2 linked regions of the Xenopus tropicalis genome follow. The protein of the gene in region 1 interacts with the protein of each later gene in a pairwise test. Links are inferred from orthologs where the notes say so. Each region holds a gene or a part of one and is shown in the gene's direction. Other genes may lie near its edges.

Region 1 (16,307 bases):
GAGGGAAGCCCTGCTCACACTCATACAAAGCTGCCAACCGCACAGACCTAAGGGAAAGCGAACAAGCGCCGAGTAACCGAGACGCACACCCCGCCCAGATATCCGCACGCTGCAACCCCCGGGCCTCTCTGACAATCCTGCAAAGCGCAGACTTTTTACCGAACTTTTGTTTGCTTTGGGTAATACTTACTAGCGTGGCTCTGTTCTGCGTTCTAATGGCGTCCCGCCTGCCCCACAATGCACAGCGAAAGGAAACAGGCTGTCGTATCTCTCTGCCCCCTTTTCCCGGCGACTGCACAAGCAAACAACTTCCGGTGGGAAACAGATATGAGTGACTTAGTTCCGCTCATCAACCCATTTATCTATTCACACCATTTAAGAGCGGCTAGTTGCACTGCAACTTTTCATATTATATATTATGAATTATTATTAAATATCTTGAGCTGAAACCTCCAATTAGACTCAGACGTGCAATCTGTGGATTGTGATAAATGCCAGAAGGGCTGCTGTAAGATGTCACAGACACTATTTATTGGGGTGATAGGGGGCTATTTGGGTATCCGCGTATAATTAAATGCCAAGGCCCCATTTCCAGTCCGCACCTGATCAGACTGTTTCTTTTAGTCTGCGCTTTTAATAGGTGCTGATTCTGACTTTATTAACTGAATTGGCAGACCGCTGGCATATGTATGGGCCCAGAATGATCAGGCTTATTTTGTTTATATATCTGCTGAATGCATTGTTTCTGAACTGCCAGAAAGCACATGCAACATTAAGTAAAATGGACAAAATGGCATCTGTGCACAAAAATGTACCCCTGCTCACTGCTGTAAAATGTAGATTCACCCCCCATTCTACCATGAATGTATGTATGTGCACATACAGGACTGGAATTAACCTGTCACTGCAGCCTGAAACTGCTGTTTGTGCCATTAGCCTAAAATTGCAGGCTGCGCTAGTAAAACCATCACATAATCTTGAGGTAAGGGTAATGGCATACACGGTTTAGTTGCCCATTGGCTTTCCCACAAAAGGACAACAACATTACCCATAGCAGCTATATATAGATAGTGCCATAGGCCACAGTGGAAACACATTGAAGAAAAACAAGATGGCTTATTCTGGTATTGGCACAATAATCCGCATTAGTCCTGTTCTTCTAGCAGCCAGAAATTGGGCATCTGGGTGAGAAGGTCACCAGCGGATCTATAACCAATATGGCCACCTAGTTGTGGCTGACATCAGGCAGATCTGTGAGGGCCAAATGATCATTGTAATAGGCGCCTGTGTAGGCCATCAGGAGAGGACCATATCAAATATCTGATGTAGTCCTCCTCCAGATGAGATTTTTAAACCTGCCCAACATCTGCCTGATATTTCACCAGATTGCTATTGGATAGGCTGTAGGACAAGACCCATAAGGTGGCCATGCATGGTAAGATCGCTCATTTGACCAGATCAAAAAGCGAACAGATATTCTCCCGATATGCCCACCTATGGGCGGGTGATATTAGGAAAATTAGATTGTTTGGCCCTAGAGCCAAAACAATCTAATTTAAAGGCAGGCATAGGCGCCATTGGTTTGAGGACTGCATGAAGGAGCCTATGCCATCCCTGACCCAACGATAAAATCAAACCTGACTAAAGGTCCCCATACACTATACGGGTGGGCGATATCGGGTAGCAATTTGCGTTAAAAAAAAATAATCCGATCATTTGGCCCTGGGGTTCGGGGACCGCATCAACGAGCCGATGCGGTCCCCGATCCGACTGGATTTTCTAACCTGGCCGATCGATATTTGGCCAATTTCAGGCCAGATATTGGTCGGCCAGGCCGCTCGTTTCTGCCCATACACGGGCTGATTAGCTGCCGAATTGGTCCAGGGGACCGATATCGGCAGCTTCTATCGGCCCGTGTATGGGGACCTTAATGGTTGATTTCAGGCCATATGTCGGTCGGGGAGGCCCATCGGAGGTGCCTATACATGGGCAGATAAGCTTCCAAAGGGTCTAAAGGCAGCTGAAATCAGTCTGTATATTGCCACCTATATTCAGGCAGCTAATCTGCAGGCTCAGACTGAACCCGCAGCTAAAGTCTGCCCCTATTTATGTTTCATTTTATAATTGCTTTATCACTGTTCCCATCCTGATTTAAAGGCATTATCATTTTCACTTTCTCACATACTGTACAGCCTTCCCTGCACTAAGCTTAGTCCCACCATAACAAGAGCACTGCAGGTAGAAGAGGCCAAATGCTAATACTGCCCCACCCTGGGAGGCTCCGTGCAGCTTCCGGCTCCACCCCGGACACACAGGGAGCCCCGGCCCGGAGGGGTAGGTATGAGGGAAACTCCAAGTGTTTGGGACACTGTGAGAGCACTATGAAGAATCCAGGACACACCGACCCCGAGGGTAGCAAAGCTGCGACAAGACCGGCCGGTACCTCGGACACAGACAGCAGTGCGTATCTACCCCCGGCCCCTATACAGCGCCCTCTCCTTCCCCTGTCTCCCTGCCGCTGAATGGCAACACCAACCCTAGTTCTGTCTTCTCGGACCCGTATCATCTGTTTCGGGTTCTGCTAATTTGTTCCTTCCCGGCCCTTAATACTTGCCGCAGGCTAACCTCTCCTAGTGTAACCGTGTGCCCTTGTGCCGCAGCCTGCTATGTCTCTGTATGGCAGTAATGTCCGTGTGTCCCTATGTGCTCGGCACGCCTTCCCCCAACTCTGTGTTTCCTGCTGCAGTGCCGCATACATACTTGTATTACTGTGTGTAGCAGGGCACTAGTATTGCCGTGTGTAGCAGGGCACTAGTATTGCCGTGTGTAGCAGGGCACTAGTATTGCCGTGTGTAGCAGGGCACTAGTATTGCCGTGTGTAGCAGGGCACTAGTATTGCCGTGTGTAGCAGGGCACTAGTATTGCCGTGTGTAGCAGGGCACTAGTATTGCCGTGTGTAGCAGGGCACTAGTATTGCCGTGTGTAGCAGGGCACTAGTATTGCTGTGTGTAGCAGGGCACTAGTATTTCTGCCCCTCTCCCTACTCTAAGCACGTTTTATTGTTTCTGTGTATTTCTTGTCCCCTCCCTGTATATTTGGAGCCGAATTCTCTATATTTCCTGGGCCCCACCTGTGATGTCCCCCTATTTGCACCCTGGTTACAATCACTTACCTTACATACGCTGGTGCGCAGGCCCCAGGCTACTCTCTCTCACTATGTACCTATAAGTGCTTCTCACTCCTATTGCAGGTGATCATGTTCAGCTGAAGGTGCCCCTCATCCAGCAGTCCTATCACTGGGATTGTGGCCTGGCGTGTGCCCGCATGGTGCTGCAGTAAGTACTTGTAGGCTCAGGAGAAAGCTTTAAAAGGAAAATGAGTGGCAAATGCCATTTTCCAAACCTCAGATTCCCACGTGTTACTGTATTCCGCCTGCATGTATGTTATAAGCATGCTAGGAGTTGTAGCCCAGCAATGCCTGGATGACCATGTGGGTCGTCATCAAACATTGTATCAGTAAATCTGTATTTTTAATGTATACACTCATTTATTACCCCCTATATAATCGGGGGCATTTCAGGGCTCAGGGATGCCCTGAAGCGGTCAGGTAAATTCTGCCCCCCTCCCCGCAATTAGTTGAGGGGGGGCTGCATCACTAGTGCTGAGATTGCAATACTGCTCTGTGCCATAGAGTTGAATCAGATTTAAAAATCAGGATTTCTTGCTCTTTAACTTATTAGTAGTGGCTATTTGCTGCCCCCGGTATATTGTAGGGCGCTGGCGCTCAAGAAGTGTTTCTTAAAGTAACAGTAACACCAAAAAATGAAAGAGCTTTAAAGTAATAAAAATATAATGTACTGTTGCCCTGCACTGGTAAAACTGGTGTGTTTGCTACAGTAACGCTACTATAATTTATATAATAAGCTGCTGTGTAGCCACGGGGGCAGCCATTCAAGCTGGATAAAAGGAGAAAAGGCACAGGTTACACAGCAGATAACATAAGTTCTGTAGAATACAATAGTGTTTTATCTGCTATGTGCCTGTGCCTTTTCTCCTTTGAATGGCTGCCTCCATGGCTACATAGCAGCTTATTTATATAAATTATAGTAGACTGTCTGAAGTAAACACACAACTTTTACCTGTGCAGGGCAGCAGCACATAATATTTTAGTTACTCTTATACACTTTCATTTTTTGGTGTTACTGTTCCTTTAACTTTTTTTTTTTAACTTGCCTCATGGCAGCAGTAGTTATATGTTAGCGCCTTATAAATACATGTTAATAATATGCAGTGAAGATAGAGATGCCTTCTGTAGTAAGTAACAGGGAACATTAAATCTTTCCAAGATTGAGATTCTTATTCAGACTCATTTGCTGCTTTCATGACACAGTATATTTAGCAAATAGTGTCTTCAGGGTTCACTGTCCCATTAGGATGATGGCACACGGGGCACTCACAATTCATTTTTTTTACTTGTGGCAATTCTTATGATTCCCCATTCCAGTGTGTTTTTGAGATTTCCCATGCCCAGTGTGCCATGACTCTTAAAGGAACTGTAACACAATTTTTTAACATTCAAAATATCCCTTCTATACACTTTGATTATAAAATATATCATACAGAAATTTCAATAGCAGCAGTGGTTTTTAAAAAAAATATTACTTTAGCATTGATTTATAGAGAACAGGCTGCCGTTTACTCCCAAGTCTCGCACCATGCTTCCGTTCAACTTCCCCCTCCACCCCCCCCCCCCTCTCCTAATTCAGGCACACGCAGCGCTACTTCAAACAGCGATGCAGACTTAGCTGGACAGAAGGAACGGTACAGTCTCTGATCCCTCTCCTCTCCCTCTCCATGCCCCAACTGCTAACAGCCCATAAATCACTCACAACAGACTCTGAAGAATGCGGCATTTAACTTCCGGATTAAACCGGAAGTCGCCGTATCGCCTTTCAAGCTCTGCACAGTAAAGCCCTGGTAATGTGATTTATTTTAAAACCCTGTCGAATATTGCATTTTTTTAAACGCTACATATCTTAATAAAATATTTAGAATGGATATGTTGAAAGTTATTTTTTTGTGTTACTGTTCCTTTAAGTTTCTCGGGAAATCACCCACGGCTTTAAATGGAACAAGCATATAAGCAGGTGTTGGCTAAGACACTCATGATGTTTTGGCCCTAAATTCCTTATTACTTCCAATCAGGTATCTGAACCTTCTGCGTGAGAATGAGTTTCAGAATGCTATGCACGAGCTCCAACTCACCAAGAGCATCTGGACAATTGATCTAGCCTATCTTATGCACCATTTTGGGGTCCGGCACCTGTTCTGCACTCAGACTTTAGGGGTCGATAAAGGTTATAAGAACCAGGTTAGTGTGGCTGTTGAGTTACTTACAGGCACAAATAGTTGGGTACTAAGTGGTATAGTAATTTTCAGTGCATGGGTTATTGGCACCTAATATGTAGACTAGAAAGCTGTTGTATTGAATAAGGTAATATTTTCTAACTTAAATATATTGTAGGATAGCTGTTGACAGGAATTATACTGTATATACAGGTACCTGTGTACTATCCAAAATGTATTCATGGAGAAATTATCACTGTAGATGTGGATACAGATCATATTCAGTGCAAACACCTAAAGGCACATATGAGTTTCCCATAGATTTGGGAATAAAATGGCAATTTTGTTTTGCTATATAGATTAGGGTTGTCTTATCCTTTATATCCTATATATATATATATATATATATATATATATATATATATATCTGTAAAATCGTGAGAATTGAGAATTAATCCAGCAATCCTGCCTTGCTTTATGGATTTTAGATATAGATTTAAAATCAGTGCATTTGTCTTAATTTCCCTTTTACCATAAAGGTTAATTATATTTACAACGCAAGTCGACATGTAAAGTGGGCAGTAGAGTGAGGTGTATAGTGCTGGTTTTTCTATACCACGGGATTAGCTGCTGCAACCTCTACATAGAGCCAAAAGTTTCATAGCATTGCTTTCCAATAGTTCTGGTTACAGTGCAATGTGAAAAGTTCTAAAGCAGAAATTATTTCAGACACTTGTATTATAGGTAGTGATATTTCAGATGACTGAGGCCTGAATGTTGACTGTCATAAGCATGTTAGGCCTTATGGAAACATGAAGGAGAATTGTTGCTTCTGTAGAAAGCTTATTCAGAATCCAGAGGGCTTCTCCTAAATTTATGGCATCAGGGATTGACATGCTAGTTCATTGGCTACTCTCTTTTCTTAGTCATTCTACAGAAAACACTTTGATGCAGAGGAAAACAGAGTGAACCAGCTGTTTGCACAAGCCAAATCCTGTGGAGTGAATGTGGAAAAACGGTAAATGTACAGCCTTGATACCCGTTATCTATTTATTCAAAATCTAAAAATTAAAGGTATCAAAAATCTTCGATAAATCATGTGCAGTGACTATAAAATAGAATGAAGTGCAATACTGCAGATAGTCTGCATCGTTACTTAAACACAACTAGTTACCGTAGGGCTGTATCTATGGAGTTCGTTATGATACTGGTTATTTTTAGCAAGTAACATGAGCTAAGACATCAGTTCCTTTCTAGAACTGTATCTAGTTTGCATTGTTTTTTTACTTGTAAAACTGGGCAAATTGTTTGGGTCTCACCCCTGTATCTTGTATCAGTGGATGGTACCCAGTGTCAGGCTTCAGCTATTAATGTTGGTGATATCTGTAAATGGTTCGCATTCATTGCCCCTGTTTTCCTTGCACAAATGCAAACTATATCATTCAGTTTTCTAGCTTGCCTGTATAATATTGGCCCTTCCACTTTGCAGCACAGTGACCATTCAGGAGTTACAGGAGCATCTTTCCCAGGGACATGTGGCCATCGTACTAGTGAATGCAGTGCTATTACTGTGTGACCTGTGCCCCAGACGTGTCAAATACTGCTGTTTTCTTCCAATTGGGCAAAAGTGTTTCTGCAGGAGCAGTGACTACCAGGGCCATTTTATTGTGCTTTGTGGTTACAACAAGAGTTCTGGCAGTTTATTTTACAACAACCCAGGATATGCCGACAGTAAGTCTTACCCATGTGTTCCTAACAATTGCATCCTTCCTGTGTGATTTTTTTTTTTTTTTGCTTTCTAAACTTACAGTAAGCTCTTGTGAGCTGGACCTCCGATTCTGTTTCCTATTCTGTAACCCTTGTTTGTTAAATTATTGCACATTGGTTTGTTTTAAATAATTATTAAATACTGTGTAACTTACAGGCACTCTATAAATAAATGATGATTGTTTGCCCTTAGGGTTGTGTCGGACCAGCATCACTAACTTTGAGGAGTCGCGCAGCAGCTATGGCACAGATGAAGATATTCTGTTTGTTTATGTGAACAGCTGACCCCTGAACTCTGCATCAACTTTTTCTCAGGATCGAGTACAGCACTCAGCAGGAACCTCATTACCCACAGTCAACGCGATATAAAGATATTTATATATATATTCTGCTTAGAAGTTAAAATTAAAGCTCACTCTTGTGGTGGTGGAGTAGTAGTAGTCCGTGGAAAATTGGACCATCATTAATTTATCCCTTGCCACTTGGGAATTAATTTAAACCAAAAATATGGCTAGGATGGCCACTCATAATGGTCTGTTGGGTTCAGTTCAACTATTAGGATGGTAAGCAGGTAGCAGTTTCAGGAGGGAAAAATGTAGAAAGGGAACAGAATTGATCATGCAGCATTTACACTGTAGCCAACTTTGCTTGGGCAACTCTGAAAGCCTCTGTAGATATTCAGTGCTATCCATAGAACTGAACGGGGTTCAGTAGAAAGGATGAATGAATTGCCCATTCTTGCACTGATTGACCACATTTGCTCTGTGTCTAGCTGCACGATAGCCTTGTACGAACAGTGCTGCTATAGGGTCACTTCCACACTCAACCAGTGACCCTGGTTAGGAAATGTGTATGTGGGTACGGTTTTAATTTTTATACTTAGATGCCAGGGAAAGGTGTTGTCCGTATGGGTACTAATAACACTATCAATCTTAATTTATAGGGCTGATCCATTAATGTCTGATGTACTCAATACTATAGGGTGTGAAAACACTTTTCTGATGCAAGAGACCACAAAATGTTAATGTACAGTTTATAATAAAGATGGTTTTATACATACTGCAATGCTTCACTTTAGTTTGTCTACTTTAGTGGTCAGAATCATTTTTTTTTAACCCAAGAATAATTTTGAGATTATCAAGACACAAACACATTTTATAAGGTTTGTTAAGTTACACTGTGTAATATTAGTGTTATTCTGGGTCAATTCTTCAATTGCTGCTATTAATATGTAAGGGCTCTTACGTGTTTGTTTTTTTTAAATTCCTTAAGAAAAATTTGCTAAGAGCACAAAACTGCTTATATTGGATTTAAACACTTTAAAAAAAAAAAAAGTTTAATCGGTGTATTCAATAAGCAAACCACCCTGAATACTGATATACATTGAAGCCCAGTGATATCATATATAAGATTAAAGGGGTGGTTCACCTTCAGGTTAATTTTTTTAGTATGTTATAAAATGGCCTATCAATCTTGGCAATTTTTAACTGGTCTAAGTTTTTTAAATTATTTCCCTTCCTCTTCTGACTATTTTCAACTTTTGAATAGGGGTCACCTAAAAAAAAAACTTGCTCTCTGAGTCAATAAGGTTATTGTTGATTTTTATTACTTTTTCTATTTAGGCCCCTTCTCTATTCATATTCCTGTTTGGTTCCTAGCTTAAACTGGACCCTGGCAACTACTGATGTGCGGGTCAGGCTGATACCTGCGGGTTAACACCTCAGCTCGGGTGACCTAACACTGCCGGATTCCTCTTCCGGCTGTCTAATTTTTATGTAAAAAATGTATGCTGCCCTGCTCCAATAACTACCCTATTCTGCACAAGGTTTATTTTCCAATGCTTTAATTACAATGCCATCCTAAAACTCTGCCTCCTGTCTTTTCAAATAAGGCAATGAGGTGATCTTCGCTCTGCACAATCCAACATGAAATGCTCCACATCTCCTAGCCTTCTGATTTCTGCCAAAACCAGTCAATTGTTGCCTACCTTTTAACAGTTCTCTGTTTTCCTCTAAATTCCTTCAGCTTAGGGTGTGGGACAGCAATACTTCAGTGTTAATTCTTTGGTAATTTACGCATGCAGCTCCTGCAGAAAATAATTACTTTCCAAAGTTGCCTGCAGGAGGAAACTTTGCGTGACTTCGAAACACCAAAGAGATGCAAAGGGATTTCCACTGGTGACTCCTACTGTTGCCTGTGGAAAGGCATTTTGCGATAGCAGAGATCTATCGCAGCCGACTAAACCACTCTGGGACATCAGCTTTATATCATCATTGAACATGCAAATTACACTGGTTTATATGTGGGGGATATCGAAATCAGTTCTCCACCGATGGTTAGGCATTAGGATTAGTAAATATACATTTGTTTATTGCATAATGAAGTCAAATGCTGTAACTGAAATTGCAGTAATAAGTTGTTCAAACTTTCTTAACAGCTTCTTTTCCTTCCATTTATTCACATAAACAGAACAGGCAGCAGGCAACTTCAGATAACACCAAAGTAAGATTCTCCCTTATAGGATATGGTGTGTTACTCTCGTATAATATTAGGCTTGAAGTCTGGCTGTGTGGCTTTAGTCAGCTCTTCAGCATACATCTCATAGCGTCCAGTCATCTGCATACAGATAAATATGTAGGTCACTGCATACTCATTTTTTCAGAGAAATGGGGCAGCGGCATATGACAATAGGTGTTCCATATCTTAGTAGCACACCCTTTAGCTGCAGGTGGGCAGTAGTAGCTGCCCATTTTGGAGATGGGAAAAGGAAATTTTACTTTATCCTGCTGAAAATGGCCCATCATGTGACATTACTTCTGGGTAAGAAAGTTAAGCACCGGCAGTTGAATCAAGCAGGGCGAGCCCTTGGAAATTTATTTGCGAACGTTCAACGCTTCACAGGCAAAAAAGTTAGACACCGGAACTCAAGTTGAATCAAGCAGGGTGAGCCCTTGCAAACTGACATCACTTCTGGGTTACATGACGTGTAAGTCGGAGGTGGGTGTACCAGAATGGGTAAAAGAATAAGGGTACGTGGGTACAGTTGGGTGCGAGTTCTCTACTAGACTTTTCACAATCTGATCAGATGATTTTTAAGAATTGGACTAAACGCAGTAAATGTTATTTCTTGGCTCTTGTGCTTCAGGAAGCTTCCTATTTTTGAGTGGACACAAACACCATACTGTGTATATATAATATATATTAAAGTATTAATGTGTGAAAAATTGTCCACCGCTCTTCATTAAAGAGTAACTCCGAGCCCTCAATTAACTTGTGAAGGATTTTTAGGGGCTTGTCTATATTTTTTTTATATATGTTACATGGCCCTTTTTATTTTCTGAACAAGCAGGTGTGTGCCAACATTATCAGAGTTTGAACAAAGGTTAAACGATTATATAACATAAAGATGCAAACACAACACATAGGCATAAATATCTGAACATACCTTGAAGTTCCATTTATCACTAGTCTGTCGGCACAGATTTAAATCCATCTCAGCCACCAGCAGCCCATCTCTTACTCGGCTGAGCCCAGGAGACCGACTCCCATCTGGGGCAGATACATAGCTAGAGCCATAGAAATGGCCAAAATCATGATGTGCTGTGTAAAAAGAGTGCTATGTTAAATGGTATATTGGTTGCAAAAGTTCGGCAAATGCCAGGGATCATAAGTGCTATATAAACACCTGCAGGTACCCCTGCTGTATCAAATGCCAGCTAAGGTCTTCACTGCTAAAACAACATATCACTGGGACTGCTCACTTCAATGTAAAGTCATCCAGTGGTGTCTAAAGAATAACAATGGCAGAAAAGATAAAGACCATAATGAGTATAGTAAGCTCACCTGAGTAGAACAGTCTACTCACGTAGATCTATGACCTTTGGTAAAAATGAAAAAGTGGTCCCTGAGAACTACAGAAGCTGGGACCAGTGATTGAAATGGAAGTATATTTAGAATTAGAATGGAAGAAAGAATTTTATTGCTTAAATATTGGTGGCAAACCCGACATTGCTTTACAGAATGACTGAATAGTTTGTGTTTTCCCCATAGTTACCTTTCTTGCCATCTCCAGATGTGAACTCATTTTCAAAATGCTCCTGAAAAAGAAAGCCCAGTGAAATAAGTGCATATAGAATGATCAACTGGGCTGTTGACTATGGTTGACACTTACTGTTCCAACACGGTTGATGGAACAAGTAAAACAGTGATTGGCGATTGCAGCATTTCTAGCTTCTATAGGCCACAGGGACTCACTGTAAGGAACCAGACACAAGGAAAAAAATAAGCACATCTGTAATACTTAGGGGGAGCACAGAATATCAGGAGTGCAACCTTTCATGATTCGCCCCTTACCTAAGCTCTCCAATGGTGGCTGAAGGATTGAAAATAATCTCTGCTCCATTCATGCTGTACATGAACCAATTGAGAGGATGGTGCCTGCCATAGCAGATATTCACTGCAATCTTGCCAAATGCTGTCTGAAATACGCGGTGTCCTGTGTTTCCCTCCATGTAGTAAGTGGACTAGGGCACAGGCAGAAATAAGTTAAACAATGTTCAAAAATAACAGAGTTCCAGACTGGCTCATCCATTTAATTTAGATATAAAAGTGCTAGTGCAGGTCTTCAACTTGCTGACTTGTGGGATCAGTTAACAAAGGTTTAATGGCCTACAGTTACAGGTTGTAAAATGCCATCCAACAAAGCTCAAAAGTTGGCCTACTCATCCATACTGGTTTAAAAAATTTAAACAAAAAAGGGGAAAAGTATGTGACAAGTCTATGAATGCTTCTGACTACATTATGCCAAAGTCAAAGGGGTAGTTTCAGATATAGGAAAACATTGGTAAATCAGTAATTTCCCCACAGTTACAAGAATAACCAGGGAAGTTAATAAGCATTCTCCCCAAATGTCATCCTAACAATCCTTAACGTCTGGCCCTCCTCACTGCTCAAAGCCCCTCGTACGGCTCAGCCACATTGTCTGGAAATCACTGAAGTAGATATTGCTATGCTACTAATAAAGACAATTTGCATTTGGCCTTTATTATGTTTATTTGTTGTGTTTTAAGAATACTGGAAAACAAGGATATATATTTCCCGTGTTAAATCTACACTACCATGGACAAGAGAACTGCTGATAATTCCTTCCCCTTGCCTAAGCTTTGGATCACTGCAAGTAAAACACATTACTTGTGGTGATCCAGTTAAACATGGAAAATGTCTTCCTTTGTGCTTTCCTGCAAGTAAAGGAGAAGGAAAGGCATTTTGTTGCCAATTGATTTGCCACAATAGTGCAAGCTACAACACTATATTTATTCTGTAGAAAGCTTTACCATACCTAAGTTAACAGCGCTAGAAGCTCCCTCTGTCATTTTAGCTTAATTTCAGTAACTTTTGTGCTGCAGATCTGTCTGCTGCAAGCTTAGATTACAGCAGAGAGGGAAAGAGATTGGAAGGAGGAGAGAGCTGCTCAGACTCGTGCTGTGCCATAAAGTATTATCCGAGAGGGGAAGTCTGATACCGAAGAACATGTGTAGAAGGAAATCCTATGTTACTTTTGATAGAGAAGTCAGTGCAGCTTTTCTGTGAGTGCTTATGGCTGCATTTACATAGACCTTTCTAATAAAGCTTACTTGGGTTAAACCTTTCCTTCTCCTTTAAGCAGGATCACTGTATGTAAGGGTAAAGATGCACGGAGTTACTTTCTCACAGCTACTAAATGCCAGAAAATACCCTGCCATAGACAATACAGAGATTTTTCTCTGCTAAAACAAATGTAGAGGCAATTATCAGTAAATGATCAGCATTGTCTATTTTTGTAGCTGTGACAAGTAGCTGCTACTAGTAGCTCTATGTGTCTTCACCCTAATTTGTTTTACTGATTTATCTCACCTCATTAAAATCTCCCACCCTTGGAATGTGATTCTTTCGGCTCTTCCCCATAACAGCTCCTGTATTTGATATGATCACAGCTGTGTTCCAAAGTGTGTCTCCGTGCACTGAGTCCCTTTCCAGAATTGGAGACACAATGACCATATTGTGCTTCTTGGCGAGCTGCAAAGTATATATGGGTTAGAAGACTCTACATACTCTGACAAAATTGCACCCTGACATGCTACAGTAATAGATATATTGTGCAGGAAGTTCCCCCTAGTCTAGTAGGTAGGATGGCAGCATGTGTTATCTGGAGGATGACACTGCTGGTAACAATCAGCATGCTCAGGGAGCTCAGGGCAGAGTGCAGTGTTCTACAGAAAGGATCAGTTTTGACTCTTGTGCTTATAAAAGTTCATTCTGATCTTCAAGGATTTGTGGTTTTGGTGTTAATGTTATTCTATAGTTGAGGACTAGGCATTGGCGATGTAAATCATGGAAGGCATGCATGAAAAAAAATCCTGCTCTAAAAGAATTTCTTGACTAGATGTATACAATTCAAATAGTGTATGAGTATATAATTATTGGTTCAACAAAGGGATGATGTTAATGGTGGGTAATTCTCATTTGTTTAAAAAAAAAATCAATACATGCAGTTAAGGAGTGCTGGCTTTTAGTTCTGCAAACTATTTCAGTATGTGGCTAAGGAGAGATAAACCAGAACAAGTTTCTCTTAGAGGTGACACTAAACTGATATCCTGTAGGATATTGTTGCACAGACACCAATGCTGTGCAAAGAAAGATCTCTCAGGTTCTGCATCCTACAAAGTTACAAGTTCAGCTCCTGTACAATCCCTGGAAATGCCTATACAGATAATATGAATAAGCCATATTTACTTCATGTAGGACCAGTAACAGCACTTACCTCCTGGCAAAATTTGGTGGTCATTCCATCCTCAGCAGATTCAGCAAACTCTGTCCAAGGAAGCTTCTCTCTTGTACAGAAAGCAAAGGGCATGGCTGGAAAAATACAGTAGGTATCAATGAAGTGGGGTGGTTGAGTGGTGAAGGAGCAAAAGAAATATAGTGATCACCAAAGTGCATTGTGAGCAGGAGAAGCACACAGTACAGGGATAGGGTCACATATAAGATGAGGGAAGTGCGAGAGCAAGGTCAAAGAAGAAAATGAGAACAAACAAGACCAATGACAATATTCAGTGATTGCAAGTAACCCATTCAATACAAACTTGGAATTTTATACATTAACATCAACACAATCAAGGAGGGAAGGGGGGAAATGTTCCCACTGTGTTTTAGTGGGGTAAAAAGCCTCAAATTACCCTTCATAACCATTAGTGAGAATCACCTAAAAATCTGCTGGGCCACAGCAGTCTGCAGTCAATATTGCCTTGATCGTCCTTAACAGTTTTTTAAAGAAGTTCACTTCAAATGTAACTTTTAGCATGTCTGAGGATTTTCCAGAATCCTTTATTATTCTCTCAATCCCTGGATAAACCAAGTTCTACTCAGTGGTGCTATACATATTCTTATATTACTACATGTGCCATTGGCCTATGTGACAATGTAAACACACTGTGCAATTAACATATTTAGACAAATAAATATAAAAATTGGTCTAATTAACATGTATTGTTAATTTAAACTAAAAAGAAAGAGTGATATATGCCCTTCAGGTAACACATATTATTACATATTTACTAGCTACGAGAGGCCAGTCCCTGAGTTAACTTCTTTCACCTGCTACAGTATAACTGTACGTTACACATTTACCTGCCTACCAAGCATATTATCTGACAGAGCGCTGAACGTCTGGATTCCTGTAGAATATTCACCTATAGGTTTCTTTGCCGCTGAGTATGTTGTGTGCTATGTGTGACTGCAAAAGACTACTGCGTCAAGATATTAAAGGGACAATTCAACTACAGATATTATAATAATTAAGTACTATACTGCAAATAATGACTTTTTACAATTTAGTTCTATTTTTTTTTTTTACCATTTTTCTAAAATCTTGGTTTTACAAATGAATTTGTTTTTCTGCCCTCTTGTAGAAATTCTATAAGCCATGTTGCGACTTTCCAAACTTTTGCTAAATAAAACATTGGTTGATACATTTCTCAGCAGCATCAGAACAATGCCAGCAATAAATGTATTCATTTTAGTTGTAACAATTTATTCAGCAATCTGGTTTATTAAAGGAAGGAGAAGGAAAGGCTTAATCACTAGGGGGTGCCAAATGTTAGGCACCCCCCAGTGACTGTAATTGCTTACCTGAAATCCCCGGCTGGTGCTCCCGTTAAGAGAAAACAGCACCGGGCATGGGTAGATGCAGGCAAGTAATCCTCTTCCTTCTCCTTTAGCAGCGATCCCAGGGCCCGCACATTTGCAGATGAGCGAAAAAGCCAGCCTTTTTGTTAGAGTTCAGCTTCTCACTCTAGCGCGCAAGTGCAAAGACCGAAGGAGGAAGAGTAATGCCTGCTCGCTTACACCCTGGCCGGTGCAGTTTTCTCACAGCAGGAGCACCATCTGTTATGCGATTACAATTATTGGGGGGTACCTAGCATTTTGGATCCCCCCAGTGATTTTAACTTTCCTTCCCCTTTAAGCTAGAACTGGGAAACATCTGAGGGGAGAAGCAACAATAATTCTTTTTTTTTTTTTTTTTAAATAAAATATATATATATATATAATTATAAAAAGTCATTATTTGGGTGTAGTATTCGTAAACTATAAGTCCTATGAACTGCACCTTTAATTACACTGCGCACTGAACAGTATAGAAACAAGTGGCATAACCAGTGACACAAATTTGCACACCGATAACAATAATTGTTCCAAAACTCTTTGGAAAAAATGCAGACCTCAGTACACACAATGCCTTTTTTAAGAAGACAGTGGGAACTTCAGTCATACATTAAAAAATGATTGCAGAGATGACCACAGTAATTTTTTAAGGACACATAAACCACCCCCCACCCCACAAAAACAGTACGTGAACAGCCTCTTTGTTTAAGGAAACAATGGTATGCATTCCTATCCCCCATTTCTCTGACTGGCAATGGGGTAAGTGGTATGCATTCCTATCCCCTATTTCTCTGACTGGCAATGGGGTAAGTGGTATGCATTCCTATCTCCTATTTCTCTGATTGGCAATGGGGTAAGTGGTATGCATTCCTATCCCCCATTTCTCTAACTGGCAATGGGGTAAGTGGTATGCATTCCTATCCCCCATTTCTCTAACTGGCAATGGGGTAAGTGGTATGCATTCCTATCCCCCATTTCTCTAACTGGCAATGGGG
Region 2 (16,975 bases), on another chromosome or scaffold:
CTTACTACCTTCCTATTTTTTGTCTTACTGACATTTTTCAGTGTAGGATGATGATTTATTTGGGAAACTTAATGGACAAGGAAAGCTTAATTCACTAAGGGGAACCAAAATGTTAATCACCCACAGTGAATTAAATCATAAAGCTTTTTTCCCATTGCTTTTTGGAAAAACATTTACCAGGCCATGCTTGTTCATTCCCTAGCTCTGATCTGCAATCTTGCTGGGGTTCCCAGTGATCCTCTGTATCTAGCTAGACATGCAAATATGCAGTATTGTGACATTCACTTTCTTGTGCATTTCCAGTTCTAGCTAGATACAGTGGATTACTGGGAATCCAGGTAAGTAAGAGTGTGGTGTGATGCTTAGGTAGGAACATTAAAAGGCTGGTGCATTTTTTTCTAAAGAGGAGCAGTGATTAACACTCCAATGTTAACGAGTTAGCCTCTGAGCCAAGAGCTGATGTACATGAGTTACAAAGTGATTCATCATAATGCTGCAAAATATAATTATATAGGAGGAATCTAAGATCCTGTTTTACCAAGCACCAAACATTTTTTTAATTCTGTGACTCATTGCCCCTGGCAGAAAAAAAGAGGAGAACTCCACCCTTTGTAAAATAGAAGTCCATTAGTGGAACCAGGTACTTATTCTGGAATACCACCACCTGCTTAAAAATCAATAATAGTAAAGGAAAATCCAGACATTGTATAACTGTTTAAATGCAAAACATTTTGAGCTTACCTAGGATTTTCATCAAGTCTCTTGGCAAGCATGCAAATTAAAGGCATACACATTTTGTTGTTTGCTGGATAGTTTGTGTTTAGCTGTTGTGCAAAATGTAGCAGCACATTCAAAGACACAGAAGTTTTGAGAAAAGCAGTGTATTGATGGTAAAAACCAGGTAACATGCACCCATGTTTGTACATTCCTAGTTGTCATTATATTTTTGCAGATGCCTGTTTGATGTTATTGAATGATAGGTTCATCTTTAGATACAGGAGCACAGAATATATTTTAGTAAATAAATCATAGCTCCAGTTTAAGTTAATTATTATTATCTGTGTTACACGTTTACAATAAGATAACTTTTATGGCATGTTATGAAATGCAGTTTGAACCTATCTTCTTTGGTGGTGGACTGCAGCCCCAGCTAGGAATTTAAATGGATATTACTCACTGGAATTCACTGCAAAGTCCATCACCTCACCCCCCTCCTCATGTCGGCACCACTCTTCCCAGAATTTCTTTATTTCCCTGACAAAAGGACAGCTTAATTCATATCTTTCTGCTGAGTGGGAAACAGTCCAGGATTCCCTCTTTGGTTTGGCTTTAGGACCACATATCCTGTTTACATTTTCCTAGCTTATTGTTATAATTAATTTAAGGCCATGCACTAATAAATCTTCATGCAAGAAAAAAAGGCTACCAACTAAAATTGCAGTTAAATGTAATAGTAAATGATACCCCTGAACTATTTTAGTATGTGTTTAGTATCTGCATGTAGCACTTATAGCAAAACTAAATGGCCTTAGGCCTTAAATTGCCTGCCTTGTTGCAAACCTCAGAGCATATGCGGTCTTGTGACTTGCATAACCCACTTGGGTAACTCACTGCTTTGGAGTTAAAAATATTATTGGAGTTATTTTGTCATTAAAAGAACAACATATTCATAAATGCCTTACTTAATTTCATTAAAATGGAGGTTGAGTACACTTGTACAGCACTAAAACAAATTCTTCTTTGAGACATTTTAATGATTTTGGACTACTAAATGACTCCTGACAAATCAGTCAGAACAACTTATGTGGGCAAATTGTTATCAGTGCATTAGTGCTGCTTGCCATATGTTAAACTGACAAGCAATAAAAACCAGTGGTGTAAATATAGAGAAGCAGTTGCCACGGTCAAAGGGAGATCCAGACCGCAGTGTCTGCTTCCTCTAGTTAGGAAAATCCTCCTCCTCTCTTACCTGGTCACGGGTGGCACGGAGCAGGGTTTGTGAGTGGGCAAAAGCAGGAGGGGTGAATTTACAGGCACACCGGGCCCCCCAGAGTATTTTCTTGCAGTGGGGCCCAGCAACTTATTGTTATACCACTGATAAAAACCTTCACTCTCTGTAGTCAGGGTCATCAGACTTCAACATTATAAGAAGACTAACCCAGAATTTTAGGAAAACATAATCTCTAATTATTGTAAGTTATTATGCCTCTTTAGTAGAAAACGCTGGAAACATGTCATGTAGTAAAAACTGGAGAACGCATGGAGACTAAAGTAATACCCCCAACAGTTCCAATTTTCAGCCCATAACCTTCACAATTTGCCTCTTAAATGTCCCTCTGTTCTACCAGCCCCCTCCAAGAGCTTGTCACTAGTCTTTGAAAATGAGGCACATTATATAAAGCACTTTTACAGCTGCTTAGAGACAAATGGCCTGGGGAGAGCTTTTGCTAAGATTTCTGTAGGGTTTTGGGCAGGGGTGTCACTGTTGTGTATTATAGAATACTTGGGAGCCACAGTATGCCATGAAATGCTTGAGGACCAGACTGTACCATGAAATGCTGGAGCCACAATATGTCATGAAATGTGGAGGTCACAGCAGGCCTGATATAAAGTGCTGGTGCACCTAGTGATTTTTTTTAATACTGCCATTCCAACCATGTAAAAAAGGGGGTGATTTTGTTAACTGGGTATGGAATTTAGGGGGGGGGGGTGGCTGTAAAACAGGCGTGACAAAAATTTTGTGACCCATCTTCCATTTGGGTGGTACGATCAAACTTAAAAACCTTTACTGCTATAGAGTGTTGCTCCTTCCACACAGTGGCTGCACACCTCAGCAAACATTTTCTGAAACAGAGCTCTTTGATAGACCAAACTTTTGTGTTCCTCCTTCCTTTTGCTAGACTATTGCCTTAGTATATATACCAAATTCATACTGAATTTAGTCTATATAGGACAAAAATGCACAAGGTCTATCATGTTGTAGTCCTGTTCATGTTTGTAACTAACTATTCCAAGTTACTATGCCCTTTGATTCCAACTTGGTTTAATATATAATCACATGTTATTGTTAACTTTTTACTAAAAAAAGACTTCTGTTGTGTGTACACACTAATGCAACAGTAACATTTTCGTGTTGTTGTGCATTAGAATTTCCATATACCTTTGGTACTGTATATACTTGCAATTACAATTAACAATTTACTGGAAATTTGCAGAAGTTTAGTTTGATTATAACTCAGTTACTTGGTTTAATATATAATCACATTTGTTATTGTTAACGTTTTACTAAAAACTCAAAAGGTAATAAATACATTTAAAATTTCTAACACATCTACTGAATTGTAGACTTCTTTGTGTGTGCACACTAATGCAACAGTAACATTTTTGTGTTTGTTGTTGTTGTGCATTAGAATTTCCATATATACCTTTGGTATATACTTGCAATTACAATTAACAATTTATTGGAAATTTGCCAAAGTTTAATTTCAGTAGCATCTATTTTGGGCAGAGCCATAGTGGGGACTATGGGGGCATTTACCAGTGGTCAGATTTTTTTCTCTTGAATCAGATTTTTTTTCTCTAAAAGTTGACGAAAAAATGTCACAAAAGTCGTGACAAAACTGCAACAATTTCGATTCCGAAAATACTCCATCCAAAACTTGTCGAGATCATGTAGAAGTTAATGGCAGATGTCCCTTTCCTGGAAGATCTTTCTTTGCTTCAAATTGTTAGAGTTTTTCGGATTTTTGATGCTGGCTTTTGTTTGACATTTCGGAAAAGACAGTGACAAGCCGAAAAAACTCCAGTTTTTGTGACTTTTTCCTGTACGTGCTTTTCAGTTCACATTTTTAATAAATGGCAGACATTTAAGCAGCCTCTAAGCTGCTGCTGTGGCCTATTTAATGGGAACTGTGTCCCATGTTTTTAAATCACTGCATATGTAAAGTGAATGACCAAAATTCAGGTACTTTTGGAACTCTGGCTGTTATAGGGTTGCTTTCATATAACCTACAACTTTGTTAATAAGGGGTTCACTGATCTAATACTGGAAGCCAAAAGGGACTTTGAGAGCCAATCCATTAGCCTGATATACTTATATACCCCAAACTGGATAAAACATACATGCCTATTTAATTAATATATATAATGTTTAGTAAAGCAGTTTTGTTTTAAGGAAACATTTTTGAAATGTATAAGCATTTTTTGTGATTGCATAGAGTGTATCATTAATTTGTTCCTATAAATTAACATTGTTTATAGTTATTGATTATGGAATGCTGTTGTTTGTGTCTGTAAAATTATAATTGCATTGTGAGACTAAATGTGTCAGATATTTTCTCACTGGTCTCACTGTGTGGTTACTTTATTGATTTGGGTGTTTCAGTTGTATTTTACTACCTTGTTTGGTTTTGTGTTCTTGTTGATTACTTGTTTTTGCCTATTGTGCAGTGGTATTTTACCACTAATTACATTGTATAGGATCTATTGTCCAGAATGCTTGGGACCTGGGCTTTTCTGGATAAGGGATCTTTCCTTAATTTGGACCTCCATACCTTAAGTCTGCTAAAAATATTTAAATATATAATAAATCCAATATGATTGAAGGGCCAATTAAGGCCCTTTGCACAGAACATTTGCATGACAATGTATTGGCAACATGAGACTTATCTTCATGGTGTTTTCAACACTGCACAATGTGTGTGAATGTATTAATGCTTAACACCACATTCATAAGCAAGCTTCCCCATATGACACCTTTATGGAAAGAGATGGAGCATATCCAATATGATGTCCCTGTCACTCCATCAGCACCCCAGCCTGTGGCACATTCAATCTAAAAAGGCTTGCTCAAGTCATTGAACTGAAGTTTGAAGAAACATATGTTCTAACAAACACTCAGCCCCTGGCAGTTAAAAAGTGATCATACAAAAAATGCCTTTATGCTGGCAACACTCTCCAAAGTGGCAATCAGTGTAGATGTGGTGGTAGGCCTACAGATGGAATGCCACTTTGTAAAATACAGCAAGCAATTGGATGATTTTGATAAAACCATCCAAATCAAATACTATTACCCTGACACTAGAAAACTAGACAGTGATTTATTATATATTGTCTATAGGACACCTGTTTCAGGACCCACATTGTCCTGTGGTAAATACCAGTTGTAGTTGCTTCCTGCCATGTTGTTTGGTAACACTAATGAGGTACCATAAATTGCGGGTAACGATTATCTTGCTGCATTGAAAGGGAGGCATAACTAGCTAAAATTTTACCCATACCTTAGAAACAGTATCCTCAAGTATCCTCGAGTTCTGCACTAAATATGTTTCTAGGCTATATGTACTACTGTTAAAAGAGCCCTAACAAGCGTGCTTTTTATTTAAAGCCATGTTTTGCACTAATGATAGGACTGAACATTGTAGTGTGCTGGTAGAATAGGACTGTATTTGTGGACTTGAAACACTCTATGTCATTGTATTATTATTACTATGTAGCATCAATATGATCTGCAAAGCAAAACCTGATTTATAAATTAGTAGTTGGGGGGGCCTACAACTTAAAAATACATGCTGATCTTAAAAAACATGTATATTGTGTTTTGAAAATGTTTTGAAATTATTTTTGTGAGTTCCAAACACAAACCTCTATTATATTGCTCATAAAAAATCAGAAATTTGCTTTAAATGAAATTACTGCAATTAAACAGGGGGCGCCGCCATGCCTGCTGCCCCTGGCGGCAGCAGCCCCAGAATCACCACTGCCCTAGTTACCAGAATTTTAAAATGAAACCCAGGGACATACAGGACTGGCTGGTAGAAATGATACTTGATGCTGAGATGATACTAATAATTAATATTTTTTTCCAGAAAAATTAGCAATTTTACATATTACATATCTCATAATGGTCCCATTACTAGCATTAATATTGCACCCGGACCTGAAAGGGAATGGGGCCAAGAGGACAAAGCTTGGTGGGTCAGGGAGTATCCAGCCATAATTGTGTGTTTTTAGGCAGAACAGGGAAGTGGTCTAATTTGAACCTAATTCAATTTTTTTATACATTTTATTGGGTTTCTGAAATATATAAGTTCAGCATAAAAAAAATTGTACAGCTAGTTAAATATGCATAGTCTGTCAAAGAAAATAGCCATTGGGTATATAGTTAACAGTAGGCTCAAACAATGTCATAAACATATCAAAAAAAGGTTAACAAGTATACGAGAAAATAAAAAGGGTAAATGAGAAGTACATAGAACACTTGATTCAAAGAAAAATTAACTACAGGTATGGGATCCCTTATCCGGAAACCCATTATCCAGAAAGTTCCGAATTACGGAAAGGCCATCTCCCATAGACTCCATTATAAGCAAATAATTCCAATTTTTAAAAATGATTTCATTTTTCCCTGTATTAATAAAACAGTCGCTTGTACTTGATCCCAACTAAGATATAATTAATCCTTGTTTGAAGCAAAACAAGCCTATTGGGTTTATTCAATATTTAAATCATTTTTAGCAGACTTAAGTTATGGAGATCCAAATTACAGAAAGATCCCTTATCCGGAAAACCCCAGGTCCCGAGCATTCTGGATAATAGATCCCATACCTGTACTAAAGTAGTAGATTTTCCCCAACCTAATTCAAATATCGAGTGGTATAATATCATTATGGTAGCAGGGCCAGTCTTATAAACGGCAGGGCCCTATTGGGACCATTTTGGCGGGGCCCCCTACACAAGTTGTTGCCAGCTGGCAGAGGATTCCAGGGCTGGGGGCAAATAGTCCCTATCTCTCGCTCTATCCATGTGACTGATGATGTAACCCTGCCTTATCTCCTCTCTTTCTCTTGTTCCATTGGCTCTCAACATTTCATGGCACAATGTGGCCCCCAAGCACTGGGCACTGACACACCAAACATACTATATACAGTGTAAAGGTGGCCATACATGTAGAAATTTTGATCTTTCCTCCGACCATTGGTGCAAAATAAGGGCTAAGATTGACTATTAGGTAGCCTCTATGCACACTATCAGCTTACAGGAGGTAGTAGCTTTATTTGGTAGTAAATCTTGTTGTTATTCAACCAAAACTTGCCACCAAGTCAGGAATTCAAAAATAACTACCTGGTTTGGGGACACTGAGAGCAACATCCAAGGGGTTGGTGAGCAACAGGTTGCTCCTGAGCCACTGGTTGGGGATCACTGCTCTACACAGTGTGTACCCTGGAGCAGCAGTATGAATGCATTGCCCACTTTGTGTTTAACGTCTCAGAACACATAGAAGCAGGCAATCATTGTTGGGGGAGGGCTGGACAGCTTTATGTGCTTATTCCTGCAGGTGCAAACCAAATAGGTCCAGTTGGCCTAAGGCAGCCCTGTTTGGTAGTGTACCTGTACTGCACATTCGCCTTCATGAATAAACAAATATCAGCCACTAATATAAGGTCCATAGGATGCAGCGATGTAATGTAAAGATGCCAGTTCAGCAATATGCTAATAGGTCGATAGCAAATACTCAGGCTACAAAATAAATACCTTTCTCAAAACAGAGGGGGCGCAGGACAAGCCGCTGGCTGACTTAACTCCACAAAAGCAATCTATTTGCAGAGCCCCAGACAATAGCTATGTTTGAAAACCAAAAAAATGGGCAAAGCGTGGCCGGATTATTCCGGCTGGCAGCGCTACCCATACTTAGCAACCTTCCCACACGCGTCTGCTCTAGTGACAACGCCTCTGGCGCTAGCCAATAGCGATTCGCCACTAACGGGGGCCGCACAAAGGGGCGGGGCATAGAGCGCTACAAACCAACACACGCTCTCACCCTGCGTGGCCAGTGTGTAACCTGCTGAAGCGCTCACACGAGTACTTATTGCTGCTACTGCTGATCAATGGACGGCTTCCAGGAGGGGTTCAAGCACTTCGCCACTGAGGCCATACACGCGGGACAGGAACCCGAACAATGGAAGTCTATGGCAGTCGTACCCCCCATAACCCTCTCCACCACATTCAAGCAGTTCGGACCAGGGGAACATGCGGTAGGTACGACTGGTTACGGCTGGACAACTAATAGATTAGGCTGCTATGACCAATAGAGTTGACGTTTCATTATTTTAGACATGCCTCACACTTTCTAGCTCCTGAGAAAAGTTTCTTTTATTTCTGTTCTCTCCACTCCCAACATTGTACATTGCTATAGAATGTACTTAGTAATATTTTTATATTATATATAACTTAAATTGTAATTATAATACGCCTATGGGAAGCATGTAAACCGTAGATCCGTCCCCAGTAGCATTTCAATAAGTGCCAGATGCTTCCACTGCCCAGTAGCCATGGCCCTTTCTTCAGCGTGCCATCCAGGTGCTACAGTAAGGCATGTGATGCAATGATCTAGCAGCCGGTCAGCTGGGGATTTGCTTAGTCACTGTAATTCTGAGGAGTGACACAGTGTATTACATGCTGACTGGCTCCCCCGTGGGGCAGAAATGTTACTTATCATGAAACTATATCGCTGTGAGCTCACCTTTCATTTACATAGCTTGGAGGTCGGTTTTTTTTCATTTGCATGTAGTAAAGAAGATTGAAATACATTTATTTTCCTTAAATATTTTCTAGATTTTACCGTAAAAAGTTGCTTCTATATATTATAAGAAGTATGAGACGCCACCTGTATTTGGTTTAGTTTGCCTTGGGTTTCATCCTTGTAGTTTTCAGAATAATCCATTGCTGTAATAAGAAAATATATTTAAAAGATTACAATAAGTTTATTTTTGATACATTTGAAACCCCTATTACAATAGGTTATTTAAAGATCCTAATTTGTGTGTATTAAAATATGGGCATGCTGCTTTATAATTGTAATAATGGCAAGATTGATGATCATTATCCATTTATATGACAATGAATCACTAGGCAATAGTGATGAGCGAATCTGTCCCATTTTGCTTTGGCGCAAAATTTGTGAATCTCTGTAAAGATTTGCAAAAGGTGAAAATGACAAGTGTCAAAAAAAAATTGCTGCACGCTCCTTTTTTTTTTTTTAGACACGCAACAATATTTTGTGTGACGATTATTTGTTGTGTTGTAACTTTTTTTTAAAATTTTTTGCCGCCAATTTCGCAAAGAAAATCCGCAAATGGCAAAACGCAGAAATTTGCTGCAAATCCATGCCTGGCAAATTATTTCACCCATCACTACTAGCCAAATTTAATCAACCTTATCTAGAGTCTTGAACTACCTCTCCTCCTTCTCTTGAGTATTTTTAGATGGGACTGAAGAGGTATTGTGTGCTGCTTTCAGTGTTGTCTCAAGCCTTTGCAGCAATGCTGTATTACAAGGTTTCTAGCAGAAAATTTTCACTCCTGTAAGTTTTCACTGCAAGCGCCATCTAGTGTTACAAAGAAGAAATTAAAAGAGGAGAGGTAGTCCTTTAAAACCTCAGCCATAAGCTAAGCTATGTTCTCTCAACTGAACTGCTTATTTATTTATTTTTTTATTCAGCAGCTTACTCCAGAAATTCCCAGTTGAAGTGCCTCTGTATAGGTTGCGCTCACCATCTTTAGACCACTCGTTGTCACTTCCAGCGCTGATAATTGATGTGCGTGCACAAAGTTTTTTTTTCTGCTATATGACTCCAGCACGTCATACACCTCTGTTTTTAAGTTAAAAAAAAAAGTGATCATAGTGCACTTGCACAGAATTGCTAATCAATTTTTAGTTAATGATAAAATAAATTATGCAATGTGAAAGAAATATAGGGTTTCAAAGGCGGCCAGAGTGCACATTGCCTCTTAAAGGAACAGTAACACCAAAAAATGAAAGTGTATAAAAATAACTAATATATTATGTACTATTGCCCTGCACTGGTAAAAGTTGTGTGTTTGCTTCATAAACATTACTACAGTTTATATAAATACCCTGCTGTGTAGCCATGGGGGCAGCCATTTAAATTGAAAAAAGGAGAAAAGGCACAGGTTATTAAGCAGATAACAGATAAGTAGCAGATTCCCATTGTATTCTACACAGTAATCTGTTATCTTCTTATGTAACCTGTGCCTTTTCTCCTTTTTTCAATTTAAATGGCTGCCCCCATGGCTACACAACAGCTATTTCTATTAACTATAGTAGTCTTTCTGAAGCAAACACGCAACTTTTACCAGTGCAGGGCAGCAGCACATTATATTTTAATTATTTTAAAACATTTTTATTTTTTAGTGTTACTGTTCCTTTAAGAAAGAACAGGGAGTGGAGTAAAATGTGTACAGGTTGCAGCAGTTTATGTGAGTGCACTGTATCAAGCTAGATAAAGAGCCACATAGGCTTGATGCTTCTCTGTGCCCAAAACTCCTAAATAAAGGCATCTGCTTACTGGAGTTCATATGGGCTGGTGCATTGGAACACTAACAGCTTTGCACCCAACACTTATCTGAAAGCAGCCAAACTCTCAAAAACTGACTTTTCCTGCTTGCTATAGCAAATGATGGCAAATGTTTTGGTTATAGGAGGCGTTTTGGTGACAGATGAGGTCTACTTGCCAATATTCTAAAATACCTTTTATTTGTGCTGGGATTCTAGTTAGGCCCATACAAATCTACATGATTTATTAATTTGTTTTTCCTACAATATGGGTAAAGCTAAATGGAGACACAAATGTAAATAAATAAATATATATATATATATATATATATATATATATATAATTTTTTTTTTTTTTTTTTGAATTACAGGGGTATGAATATAGTCGCAGTGGAAACCCAACAAGGAATTCTCTGGAAAAAGCAGTTGCTGCTCTTGATGGTGCCAAGTACTGTAAGTTTATTAGAATAATTTATTGCTCCAGTCATAACCAACTTTTATTTGTTTGAACATTACAGACAAATTCCTTTACTTTCAAAATGTTTTGAGGGTTAAAAACATACTATAGCATTTCTTAATGTTAATGAGTACTTGATGAAACATGGCCTCATTTTAATACTCTAAGGGGCATATTTATTATAGTGTGCAAGCCAACATCACCGGTGTTGTTGCCCATAAGAAACCAATCAAATCTTTGCTTTTGTTTTCTAATTTGCAGATGAACGTTCAAATGTTATTGCTAACTGGTAGCTATGGGCAACACACTGGTGGTGTTGGCTTACACGCTATAATAAATATGCCCCTAAGGGGCATGACACTCATGGCACATGTGACATATTTCAGATGGTGTAGAAGTTCTTGAATGTAATCATGCAGCTTGTCATTTACCTGAAAGCAATCCATTTGCCACTATCACTAGTGACTGGCAGGTATTGGCCAGAAAACTGCTGATTAACATTAACATGTTGATTCTATTGCCTCTATTAACTGATGAATTTTGCTCAAAGGTTTATCCTATGCTTCTGGTCTGGCTGCCACAATGAATATTGCCCATCTTCTGAAAGCTGGAGACCAAATCATCTGTACTAAAGATGTATATGGAGGTAAATTAAATCATCCTATAATCCTATACTAAATCAATATAATGTTAAACAATTTAAATTTTTATTCTGTCCTTCCAATGGTATTTGTAAGGCTTAGTGTAAATGCTGTATCACCAATAAGCATAAAATATGGTATTGTGTATACCACAATTACACCTTAGAATTGATGAAGTAAAGGCAATAAATAGTTATGGTTTTTATACCACAGGCACAAACAGATATTTTAGAAGAGTAGCATCGGAAATGGGATTGAAAGTGGCTTTTGTTGATTGCTCAGACCTAAAAAGCTTAGAAGCTGCTATCGCTGCAAACACCAAGGTAAAATAACCTGTTTGGTACCTTAAATTTATCTAAATGCCAGAACATTATTTATTAGAATATAAGGGTTAGCTTTAAATATGTTAAGGTGGCAACCCTACAAATCTTGCCATTATACATGTTGAGCCTGGGATACTGTCACAGGAAAACAAGTTTTTTTCAAAATGCATCATTTAATAGTGCTGCTTCAGCAGAACTCTGCATCTGTTGTTTTAGAAAAGCAACTTAGAAAAGTGACTTGTGCTCTCATGAACTTTACTGCTGCGCTACAAGTTGGAGTGATATCACCCCCTTCCACTCCCTCCCAGCAGCCAATCAGCAGGACAATGGGAAGGAAGCAAGATAGCAGCTACCTAACACCTGCATTGCTAAAAATATTCCCATACCCCACCTAATGATAGATATGATAACAGCGCAATGCACAGTTGGCTGCCTACTCACAAATATTACAGCTAAAAAAAAAATACATTTGTTGGTTCAAGAATAAAAGGTAGAGTAAATTATTTGCAATGTAAAGAGTGTAATTTAGAAATAAAAAGTACACCATAAAAATCCTGACAGAATACTTTTTATAGCATAGGGCTGCTGGCTTTAGGGAGTAGCGCAATGCTATATAAAGTAGAGTTTCACTAAAGCCTTATGTGCTTTATTAATTGTTTTTCATTTTGTTATACGTATTAGCAATTTAAAAAAGAATGATGTTATTGTTTAATTTTTATTTTTAATGCCTTTATTTTAGCTTGTATGGATAGAAACCCCAACAAATCCAACTTTAACCGTGATCGATATCAAGGGATGCGCTGATATTATTCACAAACATAAAGATATTATTCTAGCAGTGGATAACACTTTCCTGTCTGCCTATTTTCAGGTATGACGCTACTTTTCATAGCATCTAGTTTGATATTTGCTTTTTAGTATCACCATGTATATCCTATAGTGAAAAGCAGGCTGTCTATATTAAATGATAAGTAGGAGGTTTTGAATTAAGAAATGCAGTGAATAAAAGTTGTTGTTATTTATAAAGCCTTACCTATTCATGTTAATGCTAGGTGTTTTGACAAAGCCATAAATTATCTAATGGCAACACTTATTTCACAGTTCTGTCTGTATTCTATAAAGCAACTTCCTTCATATACACATTCTTCTGACTTTGTCATATTTTAACGAACCATATCTGGATATGATGTACACCTTGTCTACTGTGTGTTAGTAGAGGCTCATGCCATAATTATGTGCTAACTGTAATAATGGGCAGCATTTAAGTTTTAGGGGCCTCACATGTGGCCCCTAAATATTTAAAAGGTACATACAATATGTTGTAGGTAATAGAGCAATTCAGTATACCTTTTAATGAACCGAACATAGCCACATTTTCTATCACAGCAACCACTTTTGATTTTTTTTTTTTTTTTTTTTTGAAGTTATTCATATTTCAACCCCAGGTTGTTGGGGCATCAGTGGCTTAAGGTTATCAATCACCTGCAAGTTTTATATGATAAAATTGCAGTCAGTCTTTACTATATCTGTTTATAAATAATTTCTACTTTAGTTTATAACAAGTGTTGCATTGCTGTGCACTCCATAAGGTCATTTATGTGCAAAGCCTAAATTTGCAACAGTAGTACCTTGCAGTCATTGTTCCAGAGCTGTAGTTGTTTGGTCTAATATTATGTTTGCTTAAGTTCCTTTAAATATTTGCAAGACTTTATAAAAGTGCATATATTTGCTTTTTTTAGCGTCCCTTGGCTCTAGGTGCAGACATCTGTATGTATTCTGCAACCAAATACATGAATGGTAAGAAACAATACATATGCATTTCAGCCTTTCTTTTTCTTGTGCTAAGCCAACTTGGCAAATATTTGTAAATATATGTTGGGGGTTCTTAATGGAAGGGTTTGTTCATTTGGATTCGTAGTAAATGAGTAAAACTCAATTCTACTAGATACTGTATATCATGACCTGGATGAATGAAAATCTTCATGGACATAGAGGAACATTAGATTTTGTGGTGAAATTATTTCATGGTCATTAATTGTGAACTAGTTTTGTTTTTTTTTGTTTTTTTAAAAGGGAGGTATCCTAACCACCCTTTCCCAGGAATACCTTAATTTTGGCTGTTACTGCAGCATGGAGGCCTTCTAATGTGCACTGTAGTTTAGCTCACCTAAATACTGTGAAGCAAACCTTTTTATATTGGCTAGAAAGAAGAATTTTTCAATTAATACAAAGAATGTATTGCTTATTTGTTTCAGGCCATAGCGATGTTGTTATGGGGTTGGTGTCTGTTAACTGTGACAAGCTGTATGAAAAACTAAAATTCCTTCAGAATGGTAAGTGAGAAACAGCTCAGGAATCCAAGCTCTCATTTCCGTTCAAAAGGATATTTTCTTTAACTATCAAGTGACAAACTACCATAAAGCATAATTTTGATTACACATCAATTTATTGTTCTGCTGTACAGTGCTAGATACATAAGCAGCGCTATATAAATAGAACATATATTATATATATATATAATTTTTTTTTTTTTTTTTTCAACTACATTTTTTTGCTCATCGACCACACTGAAATCTTTATTGAAAATTTCTTAGCAGGATCTGTGGAATGTTAGCAATTATTGTATTAATTATAACAGCTGCCTTTAGTGCAGCTCTGAGATGCTAAGTAGGACCAATGATTAGAACTGTATCAACTGATATATCCGATTAGAACATTTTAGTCATTGACACCCCAGAGTTGCTCTAGTGAAGCATAAGAAGGTGAAAAATTAAAGATCTTCACTACAGAAATGATAATTGCCAAGAATAAAAAATATTACACCTGAAGTAAAGACCTTTTTCAGTCTAAAAACACTGAACTGAAAGTGTTTGGAAGGTGAACGACCCGAAGTCAGGTTATCAGTCAAGATAAAAGACAAAGGTAGCTTGGACATTCTTAACACTAAATGGAGGGTGGCAGGAAGAAACATCAGTGGTATTCATTATGAGAATATAGTGGCAAATGCCATCTGTTTTGCACCTATAGTAGCTTGGTAAATATGGAGACCAATAGAACGCATCTATGCTGGCAACATATGATATTTAATTTTGCCTACTGCTAAGTCTGTAACTACTCAAGACTTATTGCAGTAACAGTGTACAGTGTGCTTCTTTAAAAATGAGTACAATTAACAAACCATTTTACTTTCCAGCAATAGGAGCTGTTCCATCACCCTTTGATTGTTATCTTTGCAATCGGGGTTTGAAGACCCTTCATCTGCGAATGCAGCAACACTTTCAGAATGCTTTAGCTGTAGCAAAGTTTTTGGAAGCAGATCCTCGTGTAGACAAAGTTCTTTACCCAGGTAAGTTTTTAAATTTCTAAGAAGATGATGTAAGGTTGTACACTACTCTGAAGAACAGTGAATGTCTTTTTAGGAAATATTTTGTTTGTATATATGAGCATTGCTGCATGAAATGATGAAATCACAATCATCTCAACAATTCTGTTTAAAGGGGTAGTTCACCTTTAAGTTAACTTTTAATATGTCATAGAGTGGTCATTTCCAAGCATCTTTTCAATTGGTGTTCCTTATTTATTTTTTTAAGTTTTTGAATTGTTTGCTTTCTTTTTCTGCCTCTTTGCAGCTTTTAAATGGGGGGTCCAGCAGCAAAAAAAGCTATTGCTCTGCGAGGCAACAATTTTATTATTGTTACTTTTTATTACTTATCTTTCTATTCAGCCCCTCTACAATTAGGGGCTTATTTATTTAAGCTGTGTAAAACGAATTCGAGTAAAAAGCTGTGTAAAATGAACTGAAAAGATCGCCGTCCGAACACCAGATTTATGCTGTTACTTTACATAAGTTCCAGAGAAAGAAAAATGCGTAAAAAAATTACGCCGAGTTTGCTCTGTTTTTTACACAGCGAAGCCTGGATATGTGTGGCAAATTTCTCGCCGTTTTTTACACAGCATAATAAATATGCCCCTTAATATCAGTCACTCTCGCAAACCACTACCTGGTTACTAAGGTAAATTGGACCCTAGCAACCAGATATCTGCTGAAATCCCAAACTGAAGAACTGTGGAACAAAAAAAAATAATAATAAATTGAGAAATTACCAATAATAAAAAAAATAAATAAAGACCAATTGCAAATTATCTCATAGTTGCACACTCTACATCATACTAAAAGGTAACACAAAGGTGAACAACCCCTTAAAGTGATAAGACAACGCCACGCTACTCTGACATTCCTGCACAGTTCAATCTCATCTGTTTTGCAACAGATCTACACAGTGATGTATCTATTTTTTTTTTCTACACGTTAAGTTGGAAAAAGAGGCATTTATTAATTTCTCTGACTTCTTGAGTAATGAGGGGGCCAGAAATTTTCAATCCTAACCTGCTGTTTCTGAACTCCCACGCAAACAAGCCCAAAATCTTTATAACCGTCCCTCGGACCAAATCCCACCTGAGGACTCCCATATAAATAGTATCAGCCTCTATAAGGGAATGGGGAGCACTATTACATCACTGAAAGGGAGAAGTCATGCTTGAAGTATGACCCACCCAAACCTCTACCCCGTGCTCACTTCCATTATCTAAAGCTGCTCAACCTGCAGGTTTTAGGTTGACCTGCTTATCACTATTCTTGAAGGCAGACAGAAGTTAAGTGGTGCTGCAATACTGTCAAGAAATGCTCATGGATATTTCTTGAAAGCACCAAGAATTTTAAAAAATGGCGCAGCTTCCACAAAAACAAATCAATATTTTGGGTAAGGTTAAAATTTATACACTTTAGCATTCTAGGCACAACAGACTTTTTTTGTTTTGTTTTTTGCTTAGAGACACATTGATTTATAGTTGTTGACATAAGCATCTATCTTGATATGCCGATTCTTTTACTTTAGGACTGCCGTCTCACCCACAATATGAACTCACTAAACGACAGTGCACTGGTGTGTCTGGCATGATTACATTTTATATTAAAGGAAATCTTGAACATGCAACAACATTTCTTAAGAGCCTAAAGGTTGGTTTTGTTTTTTTTTTAACTTGAAGCGTTGTCTTTGGTAAGGGCCCTTACATATGGGTGCGCCTGCTTGATTCTTCATGTGTTCCACTGCAGGAGAACATAGGATAAAACATTGCCCTTTTGTTCTGGATGGGAGCATGCTCGCTGAGGTGAAGCATTGAACACCAACATCAAGTTGTGT

Evidence for each region.
Region 2: the proteins of gucd1 (region 1) and cth interact in binary tests that used the Homo sapiens proteins (3 or more experiments, as listed by UniProt). The two-hybrid records come from large-scale screens. The link is inferred for Xenopus tropicalis from reciprocal best matches to the Homo sapiens genes GUCD1 and CTH.

Annotation. Positions count from the first base shown.
Region 1 is NC_030677.2:152,589,910-152,606,216, reverse strand, and holds gucd1 (protein GUCD1), read left to right. Parts: upstream 1-2,381; coding exon 2,382-2,460; intron 2,461-3,250; coding exon 3,251-3,335; intron 3,336-5,205; coding exon 5,206-5,371; intron 5,372-6,272; coding exon 6,273-6,364; intron 6,365-6,835; coding exon 6,836-7,077; intron 7,078-7,306; coding exon 7,307-7,398; 3' UTR 7,399-8,173; downstream 8,174-16,307. Other genes in the region: upb1 (beta-ureidopropionase), read right to left, coding at 9,646-9,729, 10,559-10,713, 11,168-11,210, 11,285-11,366, 11,467-11,636, 13,006-13,167, 13,913-14,007.
Region 2 is NC_030680.2:82,686,433-82,703,407, reverse strand, and holds the start of cth (cystathionine gamma-lyase), read left to right. Parts: upstream 1-7,849; 5' UTR 7,850-7,886; coding exon 7,887-8,033; intron 8,034-10,724; coding exon 10,725-10,806; intron 10,807-11,360; coding exon 11,361-11,456; intron 11,457-11,664; coding exon 11,665-11,774; intron 11,775-12,513; coding exon 12,514-12,645; intron 12,646-13,513; coding exon 13,514-13,571; intron 13,572-14,029; coding exon 14,030-14,107; intron 14,108-14,967; coding exon 14,968-15,120; intron 15,121-16,669; coding exon 16,670-16,791; intron 16,792-16,975. UniProt on the Homo sapiens protein: Catalyzes the last step in the trans-sulfuration pathway from L-methionine to L-cysteine in a pyridoxal-5'-phosphate (PLP)-dependent manner, which consists on cleaving the L,L-cystathionine molecule into L-cysteine, ammonia and 2-oxobutanoate.